Mus musculus: one gene and its partners. The protein of the gene in region 5 interacts with the protein of the main gene of each other region in a biochemical or structural test. Links are inferred from orthologs where the notes say so. Each region holds a gene or a part of one and is shown on either strand. Other genes may lie near its edges.

Region 1 (4,264 bases), on a different chromosome or scaffold from region 5:
AGGACCTGGACCCTGCCTCGGTTCAGTATACGTTGTCCTCTTTTTACAGGGACTTAGAGAACTACAAGGCCTGCAGAATTTCCCAGAGCCATCTCCCCATTGACTGCATCTTCCCAGCCTCCAATATTAAAGCACCTGAATGCCTTGGAATCACATAGTCCTTTTTTCCCTAATTCTCACTAATTTACTAAGTGCCCTAGAGACCAAAATTACTGGAAGACCCATCCTTTCTGTAGAACCTCTAAAACGTTCTAGAGGTCTTGCCTAGAACTTGTGTTTTTCTCCTGACTTTATGCTTTACTCTCTTTTGTCGCCTTTAGAACCTTGGCCCTGCTCCTCACAATTCCTTTTCCTAGATATTTGTATCTGTGCCCTTTGTCTTACCATAAAGAATGGACTGAATGGGCTGAAGATGAGATTCAATTGGTAGCATGCTTGCCTGTCACACATGAAACTTAAAATTCAGTCCCCAGTACTGTGTACATAAGCTAGGTGTGTGGCACACCTGTGACTTCAAGAGATAGAGGCAGAAGGATTTAAGTTTAAGGTAATCCTGGGCTACATGAGACACTTGAAACAAATTTTTACAGTTCCAGTTCAAAGTAATTTGTTTCCATGGCCGTCAGCTTTTTACTTCAGATCTTAAGGTTTATTGTCTCTCACAGTCCAGTGGTCATCCAGGTACCCTAAATAACACTACTGCCCAACCCTTGACTTGGTCCCTAAATCGTAGTTCTAATAGTTCTACTTTCAACAGTATGCAGAGATCCTGCCCTCCCTGCTACAGCCCCTACAGTCCCTAGGTTTAAGTCCAGTCATAGATCACTAAGAACCTAAATCCACCCTTACAACTGACTGTGGCTAGACTCTGCCCTTGTAGACAGTTAATTTCCACCTCTCATATACATTTCCTCTGTATATCCGGCAGCCATTCCGGCCTCCACCTTTTGCTGAATTCAAAGTTAGTTTTTGCCTAGCTAATTACCCATAGCGTTACCCTACCCCCCTCCACAGAGTTGAGTCCTACCCTGCTGCTATGGCCCTTTCTAAATAAGTCCTGTTTCTGCTGAACGGTATGGTGTACAGCACCACCTACTTTGGTGTTTTGGCCACTGTCTGGGAGAATCCTCCAATCAGCTGAAAACAGCCCATCACCACCCCTCCATCCTCTGGGACTGTCTGTCTGCCATCAATCTCACTTAAGCCAATCGGTGTGAACTGGGCGACCTCCCCATCCCTCCTCAAACCTTGGCACTTGGCAGTCCTCCTTGACCCAATCGGCGTGAGGCACTAGCGCCGCCCAACACCTCTATAGATTCAGTTGGCCACCCGCAGTCCATCAATCCCTTTTAAGCCAATTGTGTTACAGCTCTGTTAGTATTCCTCCACCACCCAGGCCCCTGTGCTTAGGATCCTTGGCATTTTGTCCAATCAGCAAGCAGGAGGACGCTTGGCTCCTCCCATGAGAGCCCACGTGAGCGGTGGGGAAACGCAGGGGCGGCTTCTGGTTGCTGCTTCTGCTGTCGCCGCCACCACCGCCGCCGCCTTGGAACCGGGGCCTGGGGGGCGGTGGGGCCTCGTATGGAGCCCCCGCCCCCCGGAGCTGCCACTGCCACCGCCGCGCCACTCGCAGGTGAGCCCAGGCCCACAAGGTGGAGGACCCTGTCCATGACCCCACGTATCCTCACCCCCGCGCAAGGGATGTGGTTTGGCCCAGCCTGCTGGTATTTGGCTCCACTACCATCAACTGATTGCCCCTGTGTGTGCATTGCCTGCTCCTTTTGCCCTTTATAGTAGATCTGAACGTGGGCTAACATCCTGCTGTCTGTATAATGGATCTGTCTGTGAGCTTATGATTTTCCCCACCCCAACTTAATGGACTCGTCCGTGGTCTTGCCCTCCCCAACCCCCACTTATTGGAAACCAGTCTGTTGCATTGTCCAGTCCCCCTTTAGTCGTAGCTGTGTCTAAAGTGTTTCCATTTCCCCTAGCCTCAAATTTAAGGGGAACCTTCTGTGGCTTTGTTTACTGAACCCCTCATGTTTATTGTAGTGAATCAATCTGTGGCACTGTTCCCACTTAAGACACCCCATTGTTTGTTCAACAGTGAGTCCACCTAAGTTTACATTATTGCCCCCCTTGAGTCCCCAGTGCATAAGCCCATGACTTTATCCACCTCCTCCCATTGCCCCCATCTTACTGTGAATTAGTTTGCATGCTTGCATTCATATTCCTCTAGTTATCACCGCCCTAACTTTTCTCCCTTATTTGTAGACTCCAGTCTTTGAGCTGCTTCCTTTTAACAGTGGGTCAGTTTGGTGCTTTGCAATTTTTATTTTCATTTTCAACAGCCCAGTCTATGGCCTTGTCCTATCCTTCACTTTAATTAATTATTATGTGATGGCTTTTCTTCTCTGCGGTTGTATAGGTATCAGCTTAAACCACATCTCACTTTTGTAATGAATGAGTCTGTTCAGAAGCCTTCTGCCACCCCAGTGTTTACAGTCTCTCAAATCCTCAGAGCTTGCAATCCCTCCCCAAAGGGGATAGATAGGCTTTGTACTTTATTTCCCTCCTCCTCCTCCTATGTATTGGGTCAGTCTTCTCTGCCCCCATCTCCTAGGAAGTCCTGTGTACTTGTAAAACCCAGGGACTTTTAATATATGCCATGTTCCTCATAAACTCTCTTTTTGTTTGTTTGTTTTTTGTTTTGTTTTTGTTTTTTGTTTTTTTTTCAAGACAGGGTTTCTCTGTATAGCCCTGGCTGTCCTGGAACTCACTCTGTAGACCAAGCTGGCCTCGAACTCAGAAATCCGCCTGCCTCTGCCACCCAAGCGCTGGGATTAAAGGCGTGTGCCACCACTGCCCAGCCCTCATAAACACTCTTAGCCACTAGGCATTTTACTTTGCTATAGTTCTCAACTATAGTAGTGGTACTATTGCTAATGACAGTCGGATCTAACTTTATACTTTACACTTGCTGTGTACCAGGCAGTATTCTATAGTCTCCAGCTTGCTTATAGTCTCCAGTCTTCATCATAGCCCTGTGAGACAGATAACTGAGAAAACTAGGGCATGTGGGTTCACAGATGGCCCAATAACTACTTAGATAGGGGAACACTTTTGACATGCCCCTCTCTCACCTCATTGCATCCCATATGAGGGCACATTCCTTAACAGCCAAATTAGTTTCAATCACCCAGCTTTTGTTTCTGCTGTTCTTTCTGACAACAGAGCTGTCTCCATTCTACTCTGTTCTCAGGACCCATCAGCTCAAGTCCTAGCAGTGGTGTGACTTTACATGAATGACTTAACTACTTTCTTCCTGTACTGGGCTAAAATGGGGGAGTCAGAACTATAGCCTTTCCAGTGTGAAAAAAATGTGTGGGTTAAACAAGTCACCTCACTGACCTTATCTCTTTCATCTCCACATTTCAGATCCATGCTATAGCCATGCTAACCTCACTGCTTCTCAAAAACAGCCGGTACAGGCCAGCCTCAGGGCCTTTGCATTAGCTCTTCTTTCTCCATTAACACTACTCCCACATCTCTGTATGGTAACTTTCAAGGTACTGTACACTTGCCATACCCAAAGGAATTTTTTCACTACCCTGTGCAGGGAACACACTAAAGATATTTGTAAGAATGTCATTTGATTTGTGAATAAAATGAGCGTAAAGGAAATGTGATGTTGGTGATATGAAAAGGCACAAATAGAAAAGATGTTTCAGAGAGTGCTTTCATGTCTTTGCATCTTGGGTAGTGTAATTTTAGTAAAACATGTATTTGTCACACTGGTGCTTGGGATATAATGTATAAAGGTATATACATAAAAAGGTTTCAAATATCATTTTTTGTATCAAAGTAGTCAACACCCACCTCTCTTTGACTATCTGATTTTGTATACCGAGCAGGGTTCAGATCTCTTTCCTGCTTGCTTTGGCCCTTTATACTCTGTCATGGTTAGACATGCTATATAGCTTATATAAATAGATATCTGTCTATCCTCCTCAGAATAAACATCCTATGGGAACTTACAGGCTTTATCTGCCCTTCATGTAAAAATATACCTCTGTACAGTAGGTGCTTGGAATAATCTGCTGCACAAATTAACTTGGGGGGTGTAGTATCTAGACGATGAATGATGGCTCACGGCTATATATTTCCAGCATGGAAGACCAAGAGAGAATTTACAGGAAATAAAAACTAGCCTGGGTGACATAGCGAATTCCAGACCAACCTGAACTACAGAGTGAGATGCTGT
Region 2 (3,500 bases), on a different chromosome or scaffold from region 5:
AAGTAGTTATATGTGGCAAATAACTACTTACAAATAACAAATACTTTTATGTAAGTGGTATGTTCATTATGAGCCTCCATAAACTACATACTCCTGTCATTACACTTCAACTTAGTGAAATGACCACCTTTTCCATTCCCAGCTATATAATGCTTATGTGGAAACTCAGGATCAGTTGCTTTTGGAAAAACAAGAAAATAAAAGGATTAATAAGTATCTGGATGAGATAGTAAAAGAAGTGGAAGCCAAAGCACCGATTTTGAAACGCCAGCGCGAAGAGTATGAGCGTGCACAGAAAGCTGTGGCCAGTCTTTCTGCAAAGCTTGAGCAAGCTATGAAGGTTGGTTCATTTCTCAACTTGACCTTTAGGCACAGCTACTACTGAATCATCTTGTACTGGCTACTTTTCTCATAACACTCTTTGCACTAGAAAAGCTTGAGGCTTTCACTCCCACGATGACAAATTCTGACTTTGACTCAGCTAAATTGTGAGAGTCTCTTACATATGTTAAGGTGATTGAGAGGGAAATCTTCTTGGACCACTCTTCAAATATTCTCATAGTGCATTAGAATGTTGGCTAATTTAGCATAACCATTTTTTTTCTTAGAGGGTTTGATAAGCCTGTCTAGAATAATCATAGCTTGATATTAGGTCACAGATTTTTACATCAATTCAAAATTTAGCCTGCCTTAGTATGCATTACTTTATAATAGCTCCTTTGCCATGTTAAAGGTTGCACGTTCGTGACTACCCTTTTGCTATCAGAGGGTATGTTTTACTTAATGATGTAAGAGTTTATACTCTAATTTACCTTTATGGTACAGCTTTTTACAGAGAAGTCTTGAAGATTTAAGAGAATTTTATTGAGGAAATGTAGATAAATACATTTATATCTCCTATTAACTGATATGTTTTTTTCTTGGAGAATTTGAGTAAATTGTATCCTTAATTCTGAATTAAATCTTCTGTTATAATATAGAAGCCGCTGACATTGAGAAGTAGCTAATAAAGTGTTTTACAGCAGTGTAACTTTACTCATTGTGCCCTAAGGGACTGTTGGCAATCTGACAAATTAATCTTGTATTTCTATTTTCAGAGAGGTCTCTTGGGACCAATTAGATCTTTTAAGTTTCTCTGTTAATAGGATATTGCCTTGATCTTCTTGGTATGTGAAGTGCATGTCGTTAGTTAAATGGCAGATAGACATCAATTAGAATAGCAGCTTTCAACTTATAAAACAGTTTGTTCCTTCACTGTCAAAGAATAATAAAAGGGCTTAATGGTCATTTCTTCATTTTTTTTTAATAACTGGCATTTTCTATCCACAACATGAATAATGTGTTTTCTAGTGTAAATCTTCAGCTCTTAATTTGTAGGGTTCTAATCGCAATCCCACTGCATCTACTTTGCATCTTAATTCACCTTGTTTGTACTTAGTAGGTTTATGAGTGCTGTCTTTTCTGACTATTTCTATACTTCTATTTTCACGTTTCCTCTTGCACCTACACATAGCTTCTTAAAGGTGTATGAACTAACGAGATATATTTAAAAGTATATGAAAATAACTACGAACCTAAATATGCATAAATTGGAAATAGAACACAGATTTCCCTTTAATCCATCTGATCTTGTGCTAATGGGAGGGTTCTCAAAACTCCACCTCAAACTATGGATACTGCAGAGCTCACCTACTAAGTGGGTACTGTTTTGGTTGCTGCTTCTTTGCAAATTGCCACAGACTTTTAATGAAGTCTTCTGTGTCTTACCCAGCATATTTAGTTTTGACATCTCAAGTGTTTCAGTCTAACTGTGATTACCATTGATCCTTCTGATCATGATTCTGGGGTCATTTGGAAATGCACTGGGAATTTGATACTTATTTTTGCATAGTTGTATTTGACAACTTGTTAAGGGTAGAAAATGCTTTTTATTGTCATATATATATATATATATATATATATATATATATATATATATATATATATATACACATACACTATATTTCTATTATTATTTATATCCTGGGTGACACTGAGTTTTCCCTTGTGTTTATATTTTAAAGGAGATTCAGCGATTGCAGGAGGACACTGATAAAGCCAACAAACATTCATCGGTACTTGAAAGGGACAATCAGAGAATGGAAATACAAATAAAAGACCTTTCGCAACAGGTTAGGACATTTTGTGTGATTTCCAGTTTCTTTGTGATGCTTGAGTCTGCATCTTATGTCTCACGACGTCTCTTCTAGGAAAGGCGTATGTATTCTCGTCCTGTAGCACTTACATACCATCTTGTCACTGTCTTCCCAGAGATTTTTGATTGATTTTCACATTGTTGGTGACATTTGTAATAAGTACACAAACAATTGAAACAGGAAGCGTTTTTTTGTTGTTGTTCCCCATGTCCTAAGAGTGTAACCAGTGTTAGCAAGTTGGCGTGTATGTGTTTCATGCCATTCATGTATCAGTAAGTACATATCTGAATATATAAGTGTGTTTTTGTTAAAATTAGGTTACACTATGCATTACTCACTACTGCTATTTCTTGAGAAGGGGACTTGAACAACCCTTCCTCATCTTTCTGGGTGCTGGGATTTTAGGTGCACACCACCATGTCTGCTCTTCCTCTACCTGCCATATAAAACAAGCACTAAATAAGTTACTTGTAGTTTCATGTTAAAAAAATAGCCATTATTCTGAAATTGTATTTTTCTACTTTCTGTAAGTTTTCTTTATATTAAAAGTAACTATTTCAGCTGGGCAGTGGTGGCATGCTCCTTTATCCCAGCACTTGGGAGGCAGAGGCAAGTAGATTTCTGAGTTCAAGGCCAGCCTGGTCTACAAAGTGAGCTCCAGGACAGCCAGGGCTATACAGAGAAAGAAACCCTGTCTGGAAAAACCAAAAATTTTTTTTTTTTAAAGCTATTTCGTTAAAATCTTTTCTTAGATTTTTTTTTTTTTTAGCATTAAAGTGATAGATTTTGATGTTTTTAAAAATACTATATATTAGCTTTGGTTGGTTGGGTTTTATAACATTAAATTTTTGTTTCTAGATAAGAGTGCTCTTGATGGAACTTGAAGAAGCCAGGGGTAACCATGTAATTCGGGATGAGGAGGTCAGCTCTGCTGACATCAGTAGTTCGTCTGAAGTGATTTCGCAGCACCTAGTATCTTACAGGAACATCGAAGAGCTTCAGCAGCAGAATCAGCGTCTGCTATTCGCTCTTCGAGAACTTGGGGAAACCAGGGAACGAGAAGAGCAAGAGACAACTTCCTCTAAGTAAGCAGTGACCATGGCAGTGACCATGGCTAAGCACTGGGTACTGGGCTTAGTGTGTCCTTAGAGATGCTGGGTAATGGAGGTGCTTAGGGAAACTGAGCAACGATTCTATGGAATTATTTTTAATAAGGCGGTAAACTTCCGTTTAATATGACTAGTGCTAAAATAGGTAAACTTGGCAGACTTCATTTAAGTTTCAAGAAAGAAGTCTTCATGGAAA
Region 3 (3,500 bases), on a different chromosome or scaffold from region 5:
TTTCTCTTTGGAGATGGGCTCTTCTATCAGGCTAACTAGGCCATGTTGGCTGGCCACTGAGCTGGGATTGCAAGTACATCAACACACCCAGCTTTCTATAGCATGCTGGACATTATACTCAGACTCCCGTTCTTAAATGGCAAACACTTAAGTGTAAACATCAGAACTTAGTGTGGACATCTGATCGGTAGAGCGCACTATAGCCTAGAACTCCTGTACTCAAGCAATCCTCCTGTCTCAGCCTCCCAAGTAGCAGACTCTGGAGGTCATTTCGTCCATACTCACAGCCGTCCAAACTCTGCTCTCTCTCTGCCTCTGCTCCCTTTTCTCCCTTCACGTCGATGGCCAATAGCATCCAGGGAGAAATGGGCGTCACACCCTAGTTCCCTGACCGTCAAATTCATGGGACTTAGAAACTTGCGGGAATAGCTGTTGAGACCTTTCCAGATTATGTTAATTGAGGCGGGGGACCTAGCGTAAATGTGCTAAGCACCAGCTCGTGGGCTGAGTGAGGAGAAATAAGCTCTTCTCTTCTGCTTCCTGTCTGTGGATGCAGTGAGACTCTAGCTCCTCCTGTCATGCCTCCCCCCAAGGTTAGCTGCTCCCTTCAGTTGTTGAAACACATTCTTCCCTCTAGGGTTACTTCTTCCAGGCAATTGGTCACAAAAACAATAGAAATCACTAAAGCACAGCAGCACTTAGTCTGAAACGCTCGTTACTCTAACACTTAGAGCACGGCATACCTTTACTCAAGTTTGATTGGTAACCATGGGAACTAACACTGGAGAGCTTCGAGTAAGTTCTAATAACTGGGTAGCTTCATTTTCATAGTTTGCTTTATGCTTAAAAATACTAAAACCTTGCCTGGAGAGATGACTCTGCGGTTAAGAGCACTGACCGCTCTTCCAGGGGTCCCGAGTTCAAATCCCAGCAACCACATGGTGGCTCACAACCATCTGTAATGGGACCCGATGCCCTCTTCTGGTGTGTCTGAGGATAGCTACAGTGTACTCACATATATAAAACAAATACATCTTAAAACAAAACACTAAAACTGAGAGAGAGAAAAAAAAGAAAAAACTATAAAGAACTCCATATTTATTCTTGATTAAAATACTTTATAGAGAAGGAAGCAAAGTTTTATTTAAAAAAGGCAGGAAAAGCAGGAATATCAGTGGTGTGGAGACTTCAAGTCAGAATATTTTTCTTAAGAGATAAAAGCCACAGAAATTTATGTTACTTTTGGCCTGTAGGAAAAGATGAAGCAGGTGGGACCAGAAGAGAAAGGTGAGACTAGAGAATGCTTTGTTTATACTAACGAAGGGCAATGATGTAACAGAGTTGATGTTTGTGTGGCTACAGCACCAGGCCCCAAACCTCCTCTACAGGAGGACCGTAAATGGTATTGACCTCATGACCAATTAGCAAAAAGTAAGCTTAATGTCTAAGACGACGTATATACGTGAAAGCTTCTAAATATGAGAGATAAGTTTAACCCAATTCTGGGGTGGGGAACAGGTTCTGATGTATTTACATGTGTTCTGTTACAAAGAAACTCTAAGGAGAATGAGCCAGCCAGAGCCTCGAGCTTTCTGCGCTGCTTCAGCTTTAATCAACCTTCCATGATGTCCTAAGGTAAAGCCGGTGACACAGCCGGTGACAGCCTCAAAACCGTGCCATCGCATAGCTGAGAATAAACAAGGAGATGTGCCTCCGCAGGACACTGCTCACAAACCAGATGGGAGAATTAAGCTGTGCCTATAAATTCTGTGGATTTTATCAGATTGGTAAGGAGCGGGTGGCTAACAGGAAGAGTACATTTCAAGACCGCAGAAGAAGGGGCCGCGAAGCCGAAAGGCAGCCCTTTTCTATCAGAGCCATTGGATGAGTTAAGGTGCCTCACAAACAGCCCAGCACCCAGAGCCTGCCAACTAGCCACACGGTGCTATCTGACCTCACTCCTATCTCACTATACTATCTACTGGAAGCACTGGCTATAGATCCTACGTTTGAAAATAGTACAGTAAGCATTCAAGTGACCACGAAAATAATTTATAAGTTGGCCAACCAAAACCCAAGTTCACGGAGGATGAAAAACCATTCCGAGGAGGAAAAGGCAACCAAAACACCCAAGCCTGAGAAACCCGAGTCCTCGTGCGTCCTCTCAGCAAGTGCCTGCTGTGTACCAGGGTGACACACAAGGGGGAAACTGGGTTTGCACAGCAGGAAACAGGTGCACAGCAGACACACTTGCCAGGAACGGGGACTACACGGGGGAAGTCAGCTCTGAAAGGCTGCAACTCCCCCCTTGCACGGCCTCTTACGTACGTTAGGTTAGGAAGAGACACAGGAGATAGGTGAAACTACAAAGGAACATTAAAATGTAGGCTGTGCAACGTGAATATAGAAAATAATAACCCAGGAGCCAGATTTAAGGTTTTAGCATGCTAGGAGTCACACAAGCCAAGTGCTTCCCTAAATCAGAAACAGCTGAGGGACGGGGACAAACACGGGACATGGCCAACAGGACTCTCTGGGAATTACATAAAGGGATACCTACCTGAATCCATGGCTCGGCCAAATCTTTGTAAGCGGAAGGAATCTGCTGGGTTCCAAAATGAGTAAGGTTAAAACTGCTCTCCTGATTCCTTCGCTGTGATCCGGCCACGGGCTGCTGTGGGGAGGATGGCTGCTGGACAGCTCGCAGGGAGGTGGGGGACTCCACGGGGCTTGATAACTCATGGCTAAAATGAAAAATAACAAAACTTAGCCACAAGATATTAACAGATATAAGTCCCCCCATTTATTTATTTATGTTTGTTTGTTTATTTATTTATTTATTGGGACCAGGTTTGCTGTAGCTCAGGCTAGCCTTGAACCCACCATCCTCCTGCCTGAGCTCCACCAAGAGCTGGGATTACAGGTGTGTACTACCATGAAGGCCTAGAGGACATCATTTTAATTTTTTGTTGAACATATACAAATCAGATATTCAAAATTACTACCTGTAGAAGTCATGGGATCTCCACTTAGATCTACAAAGGGGACATATTAAAGGCTCTCTATTTCTTCTACACTCTTCCGCCCCTGAAAAATATAAAGGAAAAATATCATGAAAATGTCAACGTTTAAGCATAAAGTCCTAAGCATTCATGATGGTTAGTGTAAGACGGATATAGAAGGAGCCTCATACACCGCAGTGGAGTCAATCCTGATGCTTGTACAAATGCTACCATCACTCGTGATAACACTGCTGTGCTGAGCATCCCTCACAGCATCTTCCCCACTCCATTCTGTGGCTAGCCTTGCAGACTCACCCTCTGGAAAGCCTGTCCAGGTCTTCCACCCTTTCTGTCCTCACAGCTTCTGGGCTGGGAGCTTTTCAGCCTATGTTCCTTCCATTTCTACCTGCAATCCTGGATATACACTCCTTTCCTCAATCTACACAGACCCTATAGCCCAGTCTGTAGAAACTCTACATGGAGCTTAAACAGGACTCC
Region 4 (3,157 bases), on a different chromosome or scaffold from region 5:
CACCCGGCTTAGTGGAAGCTGCACTTGCGCCCCCCACCCGGCCGCACCCTGTTGCAGCAACAGACGCGACCCCGCCCCCTCCCAACCCCTCGGTCCGCCCCTTTCCCGGCAGGCTCCGCTCGGGTCCGCAGCACTACAGTTCTCGGCAGCCCAGGGGGATGCCAGACATTCTCCCCCCCACCAACAACCAACCCCCCCCCCCCCCCGCTCGAAGCATTGGCGTGGAAGCTCCGCCCCCAACCGAGGCCACGCCCTTCCACTCTGGTTCCTGAATACCCGCCGCCTGCCATGAGTAAGCAGGTTGCCACACCACTCTCTAACTGGGAAAACCGCACACCCAGCAATGTATGACTGCATCCGGTGACCGGATATAGGTCTGTAACTCCAAGAAAGAGTTCAGGACCCAAGAAAGGGTGAGGACTGGGCACCTAGTCACATCCTCCCGCCACTCCCCCCTCCCCCCCGCTTGAATGATACACTTCGAGAACTGCAGATAATAATGACAGGCAAATCAAGTTTATTCGTGTTCACAGAACATACATACTAGGCGACCCCAGACAGCCGCCCTCTGACAATCCATGGACCCAAGACTCCTGCAGCTGCCCCTGAGAAGCAACCAGAAGACATCAAAGGCCGGATTCCCAAGGGTCTTCCAAAGCCTTACAACAGACTACAGAGTTGAAGTGCTGGAAGACGGAGTGTTACCCCTAATCTTATTACACCCCCCCCAGACTAATCCCCAAGCTGGGAGTCCTACCACCCGGGTCCTCCCTCCCACAACTCTGTCTTACCGACCCTATAAATCGTAATAAATATCTGTGTTACAGCAGGGAGGCATATCTCGCACCCCTGCATAAGTTAGAATAAATATTACATACACCCCTCCTTCACCTAGGAGGATATACATAAATACATAAATATTAATTAGACACGGAGAAAGTCTCTGTCCGTCCCCAGTGGGCCTAGCCAGGACCCGCGGTGTCTCTTGGCGGTAGTGTTCTGAGTTAGCGTTGCCTTAGAAATCCCAGTTTGGGATACGTTCTCTCGCACCAGGTACCCATCCATGGTGCCTTTGTTTCTTCGGACTGTGACCCATCGCGTTTAGAAGGCCGCCGGATGTTGCTGGAGAAAAGCTTTAAGATCCAGCGCATAGTCCGAGGACTCCGAGGTCAGGTTCAAAGGCTCGAGGACCGGGGGCGCAGTAATGGGCGCAGAAATGGGCTCAGGTGTCACGGCGCTGGTAGCATCCTCCGGAGCCAGGGGCTGCGACACACCCTCTTCAGCCATCAAAATCTGGCAGAAGATGATGGCGAACAGGAGAAAGAGGACCCTCTTGGCAATGTTGGGTTCCTCGGTTGGTAGCTGGCGCCGGACCTGAGCAGATAAAAGAGGGAAACGTCAGATCGAAGGTCCCTGCGCCTAGTTGTTACCTACAAGTTCCAGGGCGACGCGACCTCCTGATGCCCACTCGGGCGATACTCACCACTCGAGGGTAGAGCACCCTTCGGCTGCGTTTTCGGTGCCCGCGAGAAGTGTTCAAACGCGCGGTGGACACCACGGCCCGCTCCGGGAGAGGGTCGAAGGTGAAAATTTCGGGACCAGAGCCCCGCCGGAGTTCCGGGCCGGTGGAGGGAGCTGGAGAAGGGGCCCTCAGGCCAGTCATGGTGTGGAGATGGTTGCGCGAGTGGCACATAATTTAGACGTTGTGCAGAGAGTGTAGAGGAGTGCAAATCCCCCGCAAAGCAGAGCTACTTATAGAGCCAAAGAAGGGGCCGGGCCGGGGGGAACTCCGCCCTTCGCAGCTGGGGAGCAGTTGGCTGCAAGGGGCTGGAAATTCCAAGGAGGAAGCAAAATGTAGGCGGAGCCTTGATTGGTTATTCTCTAGGTGCCCCAGTGCACGTTCTTTCCTGGGAGTAGTGAATGCTTGTGGGTAAAAACATTGGGAGTAAGCTCACGTCCGGACATGAGGTAGCTAGAGAGGGGCTCTCAGACACGTAGCAGATGGTCCAGCCACCCTCCTTAGTGAAGTCCAGCAAGATCAAGGGACCACAGAAAACACATTCACGTACTTACTTGGAGGTATGCGCAGGAAACAGGAGGGAAGTCATTGCACAAACTTCCAAGAAGATAAAGAACACACTAGAACCCACAGACCGGGCTCTGCCTGCCTCCGTTCACGTGAAAACCATACACACATCACAGAGATTTCAACAGAGCACACGGACACAAAACTGCAATGGTTACTTAGGGACACTCCCGAGACGCTATTCAAAGGGATAGAGGGAAGACAGGAAGTCCGAAGCTCCTGCCTTTGCCCCATACTAGGTGGGTCACAAAATAAGTGAAGTTTCTAAAATTATGAGACTTTGTGCCCGTCGTCAATAGCACCATTAGGAACCCACGGGATCCCCGTAATGCTTGAGAGACCGCTTTCCCTGAACACAGAAGTCAACATTTCTGAGCACCTCTAACAGTCCGAGTGAAAGTGTGGTGGAAACTACCCATCACAACATGAAACTTCAGCCCTCTTCCCAGCCTGCCAAGCGGAGGCAGGAAGACACAGCAAAGCAAGCTCCAGTTTCAAACGACAAACAAACAAACAAACCAAAACCATAACATAGAAGGGGGGGGGGGGGAGACACTGGTGGCACAGTTCTTAAGAACACTGCTGCTTTTGCAGAGGACCTGGAATCAGTTTCCAGAACTCAAGTGGCATCTCGCATCCAGTCCCAGGAGATCTGATGCCCTTTTCCCTTTTTGATCTCTGTAGGCATCTACATGCATGTGGTACACATACATACTCAAAGACAAAAGACTCATATGCATAAAGTAAAAATGAGACATATCGCTGGGCGTGGTGGTGCATGCCTTTAATCCCAGCACTTGTGAGGCAGAGGCAGGTGGATTTCTGAGTTTGAGGCCAGCCTGGTCTACAGAGTGAGTTCCAGGACAGCCAGGGCTATACAGAGAAACCCTGTCTCGAAAAACTAAAAAAGAAAAAAAAGAAAAAAAAAAGAGAGAGAGAGTAAGAGAGATATCTTAAAACAAACAATTTGGGTGAGATGGCTCAGTCTGATGTCCTGAGTTTGATCCCTGGGATCCACGTGGTCAAAGAAGATAACTAATTCTTAGAAAGTCACCCTCTGACTCCCATACG
Region 5 (3,500 bases):
TTTCTTTGTGTAGCTCTGGCTGTCCTGGAACTCACTCTGTAGACCAGGCTGGACTCGAACTCAAGAAATCTGCCTTCTTCTGTCTCCCAAGTGCTGGGATTAAAGTCATGTAACACCACTACCCTGCTTGGCTTATATCTTAACCATCAAGTTTTCTAATGTCTAAACCCCCTAAGAGAGCACCTCTGAAAAGCAGATAAAATGCTCAGTACATGAAATACACAAGCCAATCTAAATGTAATGTGTAGTAAGTAATGGCTCATCTGGCCAAGCCTGGTGGAAGGAGAGAACCAATTCTTGCATGCTCTCTGACTTCTGAATATAAATAATAAAAAAATAAAAAAACAAATGATAGCTGGGCAGTGGTGGCGCATGCCTTTAATCCCAGCACTTGGGAGGCATAGGCAGGAGGATTTCTGAGTTCAAGGCCAGCCTGGTCTACAGAGTGAGCTCCAGGACAGCCAGGGCTACAGAGGAACCCTAACTTGAAAAACCAACCAACCAACCAACCCACAAAGTTTTTTTTAAAAGTTAATGAATCGTGTGGGTCAAGTTCCAATTTTTAAAATAGAACAATTAAATAACCACGATTCTACATACCTAACTTTGTTATAGCCACAAGATGCTAAAAGCTATTTTAGAAAACTGGACCTGGTGGTTTAGGAATATGATCCCAGAAAGTGGGAACTGAGGCCAACCTTGCTATACAGTAAGACCTTGTTATAAACAATCCCCACCCCCAATTTTGAGATTCTTGTAATTAGGAATATTTCTTTTATATTTCCAAACATTATCTGTGATAACATATTGTACTGTATCAGAGACAGAAGGAGTTTCTAAATCTTAACTCAGGTCCATGCATTTCCTGGCTATCTAAGTTAAACGTTTCTGGGCTGGGAAGATAGAACAGTAGGTAGAGTGATTGCCTGGACATAGTAAGGACCTGATTTCAATCCTCAGAGTGCACTAAAAGTCAGGAGGATAAACAGAACCCTGGGGCTTGCTGGCCAGGTAGAGACACTGTTAAAAAAAAAAAAAGGTGGATGGTGACACCTGAGGGTTTCTCTTGTCTTATAAGATTAGCAGAGTACAAACTCTCTCTCAGCTAGACACTAAAGAGGAGGGAGAGAATGAACGAACACAATAACATGTAGAAACTGAGCTCCCAGCAGATGACTACTATAAAACCATCAATGGCAAGTCAGATGAATGCACCGAAAGGAAAAGAGTGGAACCACTGACAATGATGTTGGGCTAGAGAGATGGCTCAGTGGTTAAGAGCACCGACTGCTCTTTCAGAGTCCTGAGTTCAATCCCAACAACTACACGGTGGCTCGCAGCCATCTATAATGGGATCTGGTGCCCTCTTCTTGTGTGTCTGAAGATAGCGACAGCGTACTTACATACACGCAATAGAAGCTAATTTCAAATTCTAAAAATATGCCTGCAATATAAAAACTTTTATAAAAATTAAAATACTACATTTTTTAAAGTAAAAAAAAAATCTTAGGTAAAAATGTGCATGTACATTTTTATCCATAAAGACACAAGGATGAGCTGTTATGGCAATGAGCTGCCTTCTCCTTGGCCCATTCAGATCCTCTCAACACTGTCTACTTGAGTCAACTGTGTGTCTATGTATGAGAGAGGAGAGAGGGAAGGACGGTGGAAGGAAGGGAGGGAGAGACAAACAATCTATCAGGTTCTTTTCAAGAGTGGTCTACAACCTCACCCAATGAACCAGCTTTCCAGTCTAACACATTTTAAATAAAATACCCAATAGTTACGAGTTAACTTGTTCAGTTTTCAAGCTGGAGCCTGATAATTTAGCCAATACAATAAGTAAATCTAAAGCTAAGTTTAAGAAAAAACATCAATGAAGCAAGTCTTACCTTTGGAGTCAGCATTTGGGAACAACCTGTTCCATGGCACCTTATTTTTGTGCGGGAGAGAAAGCAAATAGTTTCTAGCTTTTAAATTTATTATACAATTCAGATCTTCCTGTGATGGAGATCCAAGAATACCTATCAGACAAAACATTAGCTGTCAATTGTCAAGATTGCACACATCACCTACGGGGCAACAGAGATTCTATATTTAATGTATTTACTTTACACTACAAGTTTTTACAAAAAGATCTTTAATATTTTTAAAGTAGAGAACATGAAAACAAAACAAAGCAACCATGCTAGAGTGAGCCTGAGGTGACTAACGTAAATCCAGATCATGTTCAGAGCTTACCCAGGATGTGATTCAGCTGGTCAAGGTAATGCTTTCCTGGGAAGATAGGCCTGTTGGATAGCATCTCTGCCAGGATGCAGCCCACAGACCAAATATCAATGGACTTGGTATAACCCTGCAACAGAAAGGGGGAAAGTCAGAGTAACAGAATAGAGCTCTCTGCAGCAGTGTGCACAGATGAAAGTTTGAGCATCAAACTTTGGAAACAGTGACACAAAATGAAAACCAGTAAGTTGGTTTTCTTAAGAGATGCCATCAGGTGGTGGTGGCACACACCTTTAATCTCAGTACTCAGGAGGCAGGGGCAGGAGGAGCTGTTCTGGTTTGATGATAAACTGAATTGTGGAACTGTAGGCTGAAATAAACTCTTTTCCTCTCCAACTTGCTTTTGGTCATGACATTTTATCATAGCAACAAAAATCAAGACAGATGCTGAGTCACTATAATTACTTTACATTTATATCTTGAAATTATTAAATTAGAACTTCTGAAGTATGCCTCAGTCCATCTTCAATGTTAGAGATTTATAATTATTACAAACTTGAGCTAGAAAAAGTCCTAATGCTCATTGTTTATATCATTTAACTAGTTTTTATAAAGTTGGAAATCAACTTACATGGACAGCACTATATTCCTGGAACAACTTATCCATTTTGTAAATTAAAAAAAAAATTAGGCTGAATGTCCTCCCTCCCCACCTTAGGTGATGGTTCCAACATTCATCCCTTAGGTATATACTTTCTTTTTAAAGAAGTCTGTTAAAATTCACATCATTAGCTTATTTCAATGTAACAATATTTCAAGATGCTCCTATAGGGAACACAAGCTAAATTTTGTGGAAAGTGTTACGTATAGTAATAAATGGAAAGAGAAATATAAACATCAAGAGAAAAAAGCCAAAGTTAAGGGTGAATTGATTTTAGAAAACCAAAGAACCAGTCGTTGGACCTACAGTAATGATAAAACATGTAGAATTTTTAGTAATTGTTTCTAAATCTCTTGTAGCTGGTGCTGTGGGTCAAAGCTATTTAGCTTTAAATAAAGAGATTAATGAACACCCCCAAAATAACACACACAAATAAATAGTAATCAGAATCAGGCCTCAGGGAGAAGTGCCTGCTCTAGGTCTTTGACAGGAATGGATACAACAGTCTGGGACAGCTGATGCCAGAGAACAGCAGGAAACTGTCCAAGGCTCCTGGGGAACGGTCCAAATCCTGGAGAGAGTAGATTATAACTCAAGAGAATAAGTAATAGAG
Region 6 (3,500 bases), on a different chromosome or scaffold from region 5:
TGTTTCTGGAGTCAGAAAGACTCCAGTTGCAAGACGCAGGACAGGATTCAGTGTTTCCAAAGGTTCTGGGAAATCACTGTGCTCAGGGCCTCTGCAAACTAATTCCATTAAAACTTCAATTGCCAAGGGCTCTTTTGTTCAGGGACCATTTAAGAGCCCTCAGTTGGTGGAATGCTAACTGTTAGATTGCAAATTGTAGTTGTTTCCGGAAAGAGCACCAAGAGGCGGCCTTGCTCTAATCGAGCAGAGCAGCCTAGAAAGTGGTCTTGCCAGGCCCATTAGTGGCAGGCAGGGAGAGTAATGGAGTGCGTCCAGGGGCTCCCAGAGCCCACCCGCATGACAGCTGCTCTGTGTCCTCATTCCCTGTCTGACTTGCTAAGTCTGAGGGTCTGAGGGTCTGTGGCTTCTTCATCCAGAGGCCCTTTTCTAGGGGGATGGGGGTGGGGTGGGGGGAGGGTGGTCTTCCTCAGCTTGCTTGGAACTCAAGATCCTCTGCCAGGCTGGGTTACAGGCATGGACCATACTGAGCAGCTCCCACCTCACAGACAGCTAACGGCACAGGGCATTCAGCCCCCTGTACCTTACACCATTTAGACCGCTGGTTGGGTCAGCGCTCTGTGGCCACTATTCCTTTACAGAAAATGAGAGATTCTGAGGGTGAGACATTTCAGAAGCACATACCTTTGCGTCATCCAGCAGAGGGCTGCCCGGCTCAGAGTCAATGGAATAGGGAGAGAAGCCGGCCTGGGACCCGGAGTCGGAGGCCGGCGGAGACATCAGAAGGACATTCTGGTTAAAGTCATCAATTTTCAAGTCCACATCACTGTCCACCAGACTGCCCAGGTCGATGCCCTTCAGGAGCTCTGCAAAGACAAGTCCCTCCATTTTTATAAAGTCCCACATGAGAGGGGCCTCACACACATGTGCGTCCCACCTCTCAGTGCCTGCCACAGGACTTCCCCTGTGAGGTCTGCTGGCCCTCCGGCAGGCAGACTTACTGTTTTTCTGATTGGCCAGCTTCAGCACCATGTTCTCCTGGCGCAGCTTGTGATTGACCTGCTGCAGATATTTGATGTAATCAATGGCCTTCCTCAGAACGCCAGACTTGTGCATCTGGAAGGAAGGCAGACGAAACACAGTTACGGCCGTGCGTGTGGAGCTGAGAGAGCAGAGCCCCACAGTCCACGCGTGGGAAGCACAGCTGCGAGGTGCCAGGGCCCGGCTCATGGCTGGCTGGTGGACACAGAGCTCGCCCTAACTCTGGACCTCTTCTTTCTTTCCTTTCTTTTTTTTTGGTTGGTGGGGTGGTGATAGTACCAGGTGCTGGGTTTCAGACTCAGGACAAGCGTTGAGATGCATATTTAACATATCAAAGTGGGCCTGGCCTCTAGGTTCTCCCAGCAGCTCTTGGTCCCTACCCGTTACAGGGCACGGCTGCTATACCCCTTACCCAGAGGTTTTTCCCTATATAACAGAGACATTTTTGTCTCCTTCTCTCTGCCGCTCTCTGCATTTTCTCTCTCCCTGTATGTGTGTTCAAGCTTCTCCCGTCCCCACCCCTAACCCCTTGGCCTTGCCAACTTTCCTGGCTTTATTACTTGGGATCAGTGAACCCACTGGAGAGCTGGTTCCCATTAAACCCGCCTTTGTATACGCTAATCTGGCCTGAGTTGGCTCATTTCACTGGCCAAGACTAACACATCACTAGGGACTGGACCTAGGCAACGGACCCAAGGTCTGGCCCATTCTAGCTCTATCATGAGCTAAATCCTCACTTCTCCTAATCCTTAACATGTGAATAATGGCAGGATCTAAGCCATAGGCTGGTAGTAAGGTCTTCATGAGACAATACATGTTAAGAGTTTATAGCCTGGAACCTGGCATAAAACTGACATACAATAATTATTTGACTATAATAATCCACATAATAATCTAGCATAAAAACAAACTTTAAGGAAATCAAGTGGCAAACAAACAAGAAAAAAAATAGCACCTCCCACTTCCCAGGAGACACATTCATTAAAAAAAAAAAAAAAGATATATGCAAAAAAAATTAATTTCCTCTGCTTTGCTCTTGTGCAGAGTTGATCTGCACTCTTGCTTCTGTCCTGAAAGGGAGCACTATAAAATATGTCAAGAGCCAGGCGGTGATGGCGCTTGCCTTTAATCCCAGCACTCGGGAGGCAGAGGCAGGCGGATTTCTGAGTCCAAGGCCAGCCTGGTCTACAGAGTGAGTTCCAGGACAGCCAGGGCTACACAGACAAACCCTGTCTCAAAAAAACCCAAAAAAGTCAAGAATGTCCTAAGTTACCTCCAAGGTACACATAGTCCTATACCTGTCAACAAGGTAGGATGCGCTATCTCCCTCTTTCACCGCATGTCACACAGCACAGGTGACAGAGTAAATGTACTAGGCGTCATCGCATCACCAACCTTCAACACTCCATTTATGCTAGATAATTACTCATTAAAGATTAATTTATCTTTATTTTATGAGTATTTTGCCTGCCTGTCATGCCTGCCTGGTGCCTGAGACACACAGAGGACACGGGACCTCAGAACTAGGATTACAGCCACTGTAAACAACCACGTGGGTGCTAGGACAGAACCCAGGTCTTCTGAAGAGTGTCACCTGCTCTTCTGCTGACCCGCCTCTGAAAGCCTCCTCATTCATTCATTCATTCATTCATTCACTCACGGAACTGACTTTTAGTCCTGACTGGCCTAGAACTTGTAATCTTCCTGCCTTGTCTCCCGAATGCCAGGATAATAAACATATGCCACCATATCTGGGCAGTATTCTACAATCCTGTTAAACACCAGGATTATTCAACAAAAATCCGTCTCTAACTTCCTTTTGTGTCCACTCATTAAGGCTGCACCTTCCCTAACTGCATGACAGAGACCAAGGCGACACTGGGCCTGAGTCAGTGCTCTTCCTGGCTCTTACCTTGGCATCTGTCCCCATGACTAAGTCCTTCAACTCTATGATTTTGTCGTTGATGGAGGACCGGTAGCGCTTTTCAATGATATTGTGTGTTGTCCGCCTCTCTCCTTCTTTGGGAGGATCCAGCTGCTTCACGCCGCCAGGCACTTGCTTGATAGGAACTTTCTCTTGCCCCATCATCACAGGCATTGTGGTCAGAATGGTCCCGTTGCTGCCCACCAGGGTCTAGAACATGAGCAGAATTTCCTTTTGTTAGTTTAAATACAGTAACCTCACAACACGAAGTGGGCTGCTCCTGCATATGGGGTATCACCCAGGAGTGCTTCACGTTGTCTGATACCCTCTTGGGCTAAGGAGGTCAGGTCCTGAGAGGCCCAGAGCTGTGCACATCCACTCCCATCTTCCTCTCAAGATCACTATTAATAAACAGCACCACCAAAAGATTAGCTGGGCCTTAACTTCTGGCCTGGGGCGGGGGCGGGGATGGGGGTGGGGGCGGGGTGGGATTGCTAGGAAAATGCTGTATGGTTTTGCTGTCAAACTGTCAGTAACC
Region 7 (4,053 bases), on a different chromosome or scaffold from region 5:
ACCTGGGTATGACTGATATCGAGCAATTAGCTTTTCAGCCAAGCAGCTAATGTGTATAGGTGTCACTGTCCTTTCTAAAAATAGAGTCAGCCTCTGCCCTGGGAATGTGGCTTTCTTTACAAGAGACAAGCTCAGATATTCAACAAGTAAAAGGCTTGGAGGCTTCTTGATCTCTGCTCTCCCAGCCACTTACTTTCTGATTACCTAAATCTGTGGGAGCAGAGGTCAAGAAAGCCACATTTATTTGAGTTCTGATGAAAAGCCCAAACAGTAATATTAGGTAGCTCTGATGCATTTTAATCTGATGACAGCCTGTGACCCACAAATTGCTGTTTAAAATTAAAAATGAATCCAAAATGAAACTGGCAAGACAATTACAATCCCAGACTTGTAATCTGCTTTGACAAGACACCATTCCAAAGCACTGTATTAAATACAAATACAATTAATGTATATGTAGCATACTGCAATTGAAACCTGAAATATGTAGTAAATCACCAGTTGCCTTATGAAACTAAACTTGGCTGGATAATCTTATTTTTAATCTTTTTTTACATGTTAAGAAGGCAAAGTGCAGATTATAGATTTGCTTTGACTTTTGTAATACACACTTTGGCAAACCTCCAGACATCATCGAGGGATGCAGACTTCATCGAGGGATGCAGACTTCCAGGTTTCACCTCTGATGAGAAAATGCTCTCTATTTCCCTTATCCCCAGGGTTCATCCATAATAAATTAGAAATGTTTTCTGCATGCTTAATATGAAGTCTATTTATAATTTCAAGCTTATAACTACTTAGTATGCATTAATTACAATCCCTAACATTTGTTTATACATAATTTTCAAGAATAACTTCACTGATGTATTTTATCAGATAATTAATTACTTAACTGGATAGCAATGAAAACTTTTTTTTTGGCAATGGCTATTTTTTCAGTTGTACCATTAAACAGTATTGGATGTAAAACAATAACAGTGTTCATGTTTTCATCATCATATATTTTAACGTTAAATAATTACATGTGGCAATGAAATGTTTGCAAATAATTTAATGACCAAATCATAGCTTTTTCTCCCACTGGTTTTTCAAGATACCAGAGAACCACTGAACACCCCACAATGTAATATTGTATCTATGATAATTAACACACATCCTTAATTATAGCCTTATTGTTCCTATACATTGTTTGTTTCTAAATTCACAATGCATTTAAATAGCAATTGCTGGGACAAAAAAAGTACTACATCTCACTCCCATCATTGCATACATGAAAAAAAAAACACTCAGTCTTTTGGAGCACTATAACAAGGATTGTAGGTGTGTGTGTGTGTGTGTGTGTGTGTGTGTGTGTGTGTGTTCACAGTAGCATAATACACTCCCACTCGGTGTACTTAGAGAAATGAATGCGTGTGAAAGAAACTCAAAGAAAAGGTCTGTGCTTGCTACAGGATCACTGCATGGACAACTGCGGTCTCGGCAGGGTTCCTGAAATCTCTCTGCCATGTTTTATTTTGGTTCCCGTGTGTGAAAATCACCTAGGGTGCAGTCCAGTGAGCCTGTCCACAGGGTTAGAGGAGCCAGGTGACACCGAATATAAAATTCCTAGGCACTTTATCAGCTGTGCATCCCTAGAACTACACAGTGATTCTTGTGTCCAATCTATTTTTATGTGTTTACACTCTCGCTGCCTCCCATCCAATCTATCCTGGGGACACAGTGATAAAAAACCCCCAGGCTTGTCAGCGTGGTTGGGTTTTTCTTTACTGACTGCGGATACTGACCGTGGTGCTGAAATAGAGAGGAGCCTCCGGTTTGAAACCTTTCCTTCCTCTTATTGGTTCAGAAAACCCGAATGACAAGAGCAGGGGCCAAAGCAGCCTAGAGCAGCATGATGAATAAACCGAGCATTTGGCTCTTAGGGGCGGAGATGCAGACCGTCAGGTTACAGACAGGGCATCCCCGTGAGCGCTCGCTACACTGGGAGATCTTATGGATGTAGCCGCTGCAGTAGGAAGGGCTTCATCCAGCAGGGTGTCTCATCTCTTTTTCCCTGTAAAATGTGCAACCAAGCGCAAAGCCTAGAAGCACAAGCAGGAAAGCTCAATGGAGGGGGGACCAAATCTATATTCACATTAAAAACTGTTCACTCTTCGCCATGCAAGATAAAGAAGGGAGAGCTGAATTTAGCCTAAGTTTTCAGCCCTAGCCTTCCAACAGGTGCACTCTCTCACCCCTCAGACATTATCCCAAATCTTTCTCTGCCAGGCAAGCTTTCCCTGGAGTCCTCTAGCGTGTGCTGTTTCCCATCTTCTCCTTAGCTTCAGCTCTGAACCCCGCAAGCCCTTACCTGCAGCATGAAGATTAAGAAGCAGGCACAGCGCAGGGAAGCCGACCGCTCTCCTCATAGTGTGTGCATTGAGGGTCAGAGGAGAAACTCCGCCGCAACCCCACTCTAGGCTAAGTGCTATTTGAGAGAACCACTGCCAAGAGTCCTTTGATCCCGGGCATCCGATGACAGGGTCCTCCGCTGGGGTACACAGAGCAGTCTGTGGCGTGCCTACAGAACCGAGCACCTGCTTCCTCTCCGCAAGGGATGGGGAGATACGAGAGTAGGATGCTGCGGGAGATGGGGACTCGAGGCTGATGGGGGCAAGACGCTCAGAAGAGGTGAGAGTTTGGCCTTCTGGAAGCCCGCAGCCGGTGGTGACAGTGGGGTGGACTCTAGTGCCAGCCTCCGAGCCAGGCAGCGCCTCTGCTGCCTGTGCAGCTAGCAGCAGCCGAGACACACCGAGGCACTGAGCATGCCCAGCTCCGGCCCTGGCTAGGGAGTTTCAAATCGAAATTCCACCTCTCCGGGTCTTAGCTGAGACTGCGAGGGGAACAAGCTCCACGAGGAGGAGGAGGGGGAGGAGGGGCTGGAGGCTAGCTTTAGGGACCTCCTAAATCTGAGGTCCTAGAGTTCCTCCTAAATCTGGGCGGGGGGAGGAGTTGAGTGGGGAGGGAAGAGGCGGGGCCAGGACCACAGAAACCCAAGGAGGGAAGTGGAGGGGGCCACTCATCTGGTTCCTTCCTCACATTTTTGAATCACGCGTGGACTCAGCTCACTGTGGCAACTAAATGCTTGCAGGCTGACCAGTTTCCCAGTATGTCCCCACCCTAGTGAAGCATAGGCAAGCAGCGAGTTCTGGCCTGGTTGGGCAAATGTTCCCACTTACAGCCTGCTGTGTTTAAGCAAACGGGATATTCCGAGAGCGCCCCCTTCTTGCCAATGAGCTCACCCCAGGCTTCTTTCTTCCAATCTTTGTACTTCCACTAAATTCAAGCCTCAAGTCTTTGACTGGAGTGCTTGAAAACAGGGAGGTCATACTTACAGGGTAGGGAAGTACACCCGTGTAATACGAAGGAAAGGAACGGTCTTTGGTGTTTTATGGAAATAATTACCTAAGATTTTATCATTAATTTAAAAAATAATGTATTGGGGTATTTTGCTTGCATGCCTGTCTGTCCACCACGCCTGTGTGTCATTGCCCTCAGAGGTCAAATGAGGTTGTTAAAAGGCTAGGATTGGATTTATGGATGGTTGCGAACTGCCACGCGGTCGCAGGAATAAGACCCGGGTCTTCTGGGAAAGTAAGGAGAGCTTTTCACAGCTGAGCCACTCAAGCCTTATCAACTTAACTCGACTTCTCCGCTCCAATCCTGTACCTTTAACGAGGCTCGCACAGTGTGCAAATATATGCACTTTTAGTTCCTTTACCTAAGTTGGTAGGATGAAGATCCTTACCATTCTAGTGACTAATTACTCTAAGGCCAAATGTCCCTCAGCCAAGCTCCCTTCAAGACTGTTCATCTTCTGCTTCTATTCGCAGGTTTCCCTTCTGCCTCTTCGGCAATGGACCTCACTCAGACCACTGCCCACCCAGTTGCTTACAAAGGTCTAAATTTGTTTTTTTCTTAAGAAGCTTTGGGCTAACCTGACATTATAATGTCCTTCCTCTTCCCCGCTTTTTGAACACCGCCACACACACACACACACACACACACACACAC

Evidence for each region.
Region 1: of the proteins of Mapk1 (region 5) and Elk1, one has a biochemical effect on the other in vitro, tested with the Homo sapiens proteins (16 studies listed by BioGRID and IntAct, with this or other methods). The link is inferred for Mus musculus from reciprocal best matches to the Homo sapiens genes MAPK1 and ELK1.
Region 2: of the proteins of Mapk1 (region 5) and Tpr, one has a biochemical effect on the other in vitro, tested with the Homo sapiens proteins (2 studies listed by BioGRID). The link is inferred for Mus musculus from reciprocal best matches to the Homo sapiens genes MAPK1 and TPR.
Region 3: of the proteins of Mapk1 (region 5) and Map3k1, one has a biochemical effect on the other in vitro, tested with the Homo sapiens proteins (3 studies listed by BioGRID). The link is inferred for Mus musculus from reciprocal best matches to the Homo sapiens genes MAPK1 and MAP3K1.
Region 4: of the proteins of Mapk1 (region 5) and Ier3, one has a biochemical effect on the other in vitro, tested with the Homo sapiens proteins (2 studies listed by BioGRID and IntAct). The link is inferred for Mus musculus from reciprocal best matches to the Homo sapiens genes MAPK1 and IER3.
Region 6: of the proteins of Mapk1 (region 5) and Srebf2, one has a biochemical effect on the other in vitro, tested with the Homo sapiens proteins (2 studies listed by BioGRID). The link is inferred for Mus musculus from reciprocal best matches to the Homo sapiens genes MAPK1 and SREBF2.
Region 7: the proteins of Mapk1 (region 5) and Ptprr form a complex in vitro, tested with the Homo sapiens proteins (2 studies listed by BioGRID, with this or other methods). The link is inferred for Mus musculus from reciprocal best matches to the Homo sapiens genes MAPK1 and PTPRR.

The regions. Positions count from the first base shown.
Region 1 is NC_000086.7:20,947,809-20,952,072, reverse strand, and holds the start of Elk1 (ETS domain-containing protein Elk-1), read left to right. Parts: upstream 1-1,464; 5' UTR 1,465-1,633; intron 1,634-4,264. Other genes in the region: protein UXT, read left to right, coding at 50-103. UniProt on the Homo sapiens protein: Transcription factor that binds to purine-rich DNA sequences. Forms a ternary complex with SRF and the ETS and SRF motifs of the serum response element (SRE) on the promoter region of immediate early genes such as FOS and IER2.
Region 2 is NC_000067.6:150,409,838-150,413,337, forward strand, and holds part of Tpr (nucleoprotein TPR), read left to right. Parts: intron 1-142; coding exon 143-340; intron 341-2,063; coding exon 2,064-2,171; intron 2,172-3,053; coding exon 3,054-3,280; intron 3,281-3,500.
Region 3 is NC_000079.6:111,760,494-111,763,993, forward strand, and holds part of Map3k1 (mitogen-activated protein kinase kinase kinase 1), read right to left. Parts: intron 3,088-3,500; coding exon 3,006-3,087; intron 2,745-3,005; coding exon 2,561-2,744; intron 1-2,560. UniProt on the Homo sapiens protein: Component of a protein kinase signal transduction cascade. Activates the ERK and JNK kinase pathways by phosphorylation of MAP2K1 and MAP2K4. May phosphorylate the MAPK8/JNK1 kinase.
Region 4 is NC_000083.6:35,820,255-35,823,411, reverse strand, and holds Ier3 (radiation-inducible immediate-early gene IEX-1), read right to left. Parts: upstream 1,700-3,157; 5' UTR 1,694-1,699; coding exon 1,484-1,693; intron 1,375-1,483; coding exon 1,102-1,374; 3' UTR 501-1,101; downstream 1-500. UniProt on the Homo sapiens protein: May play a role in the ERK signaling pathway by inhibiting the dephosphorylation of ERK by phosphatase PP2A-PPP2R5C holoenzyme. Also acts as an ERK downstream effector mediating survival.
Region 5 is NC_000082.6:17,024,882-17,028,381, reverse strand, and holds part of Mapk1 (mitogen-activated protein kinase 1), read right to left. Parts: intron 2,357-3,500; coding exon 2,242-2,356; intron 2,025-2,241; coding exon 1,893-2,024; intron 1-1,892. UniProt on the Homo sapiens protein: Serine/threonine kinase which acts as an essential component of the MAP kinase signal transduction pathway. MAPK1/ERK2 and MAPK3/ERK1 are the 2 MAPKs which play an important role in the MAPK/ERK cascade.
Region 6 is NC_000081.6:82,174,769-82,178,268, reverse strand, and holds part of Srebf2 (sterol regulatory element-binding protein 2), read right to left. Parts: intron 3,173-3,500; coding exon 2,951-3,172; intron 1,114-2,950; coding exon 999-1,113; intron 864-998; coding exon 682-863; intron 1-681.
Region 7 is NC_000076.6:116,017,110-116,021,162, reverse strand, and holds the start of Ptprr (receptor-type tyrosine-protein phosphatase R isoform a precursor), read right to left. Parts: upstream 2,801-4,053; 5' UTR 2,409-2,800; coding exon 2,351-2,408; intron 1-2,350. UniProt on the Homo sapiens protein: Sequesters mitogen-activated protein kinases (MAPKs) such as MAPK1, MAPK3 and MAPK14 in the cytoplasm in an inactive form.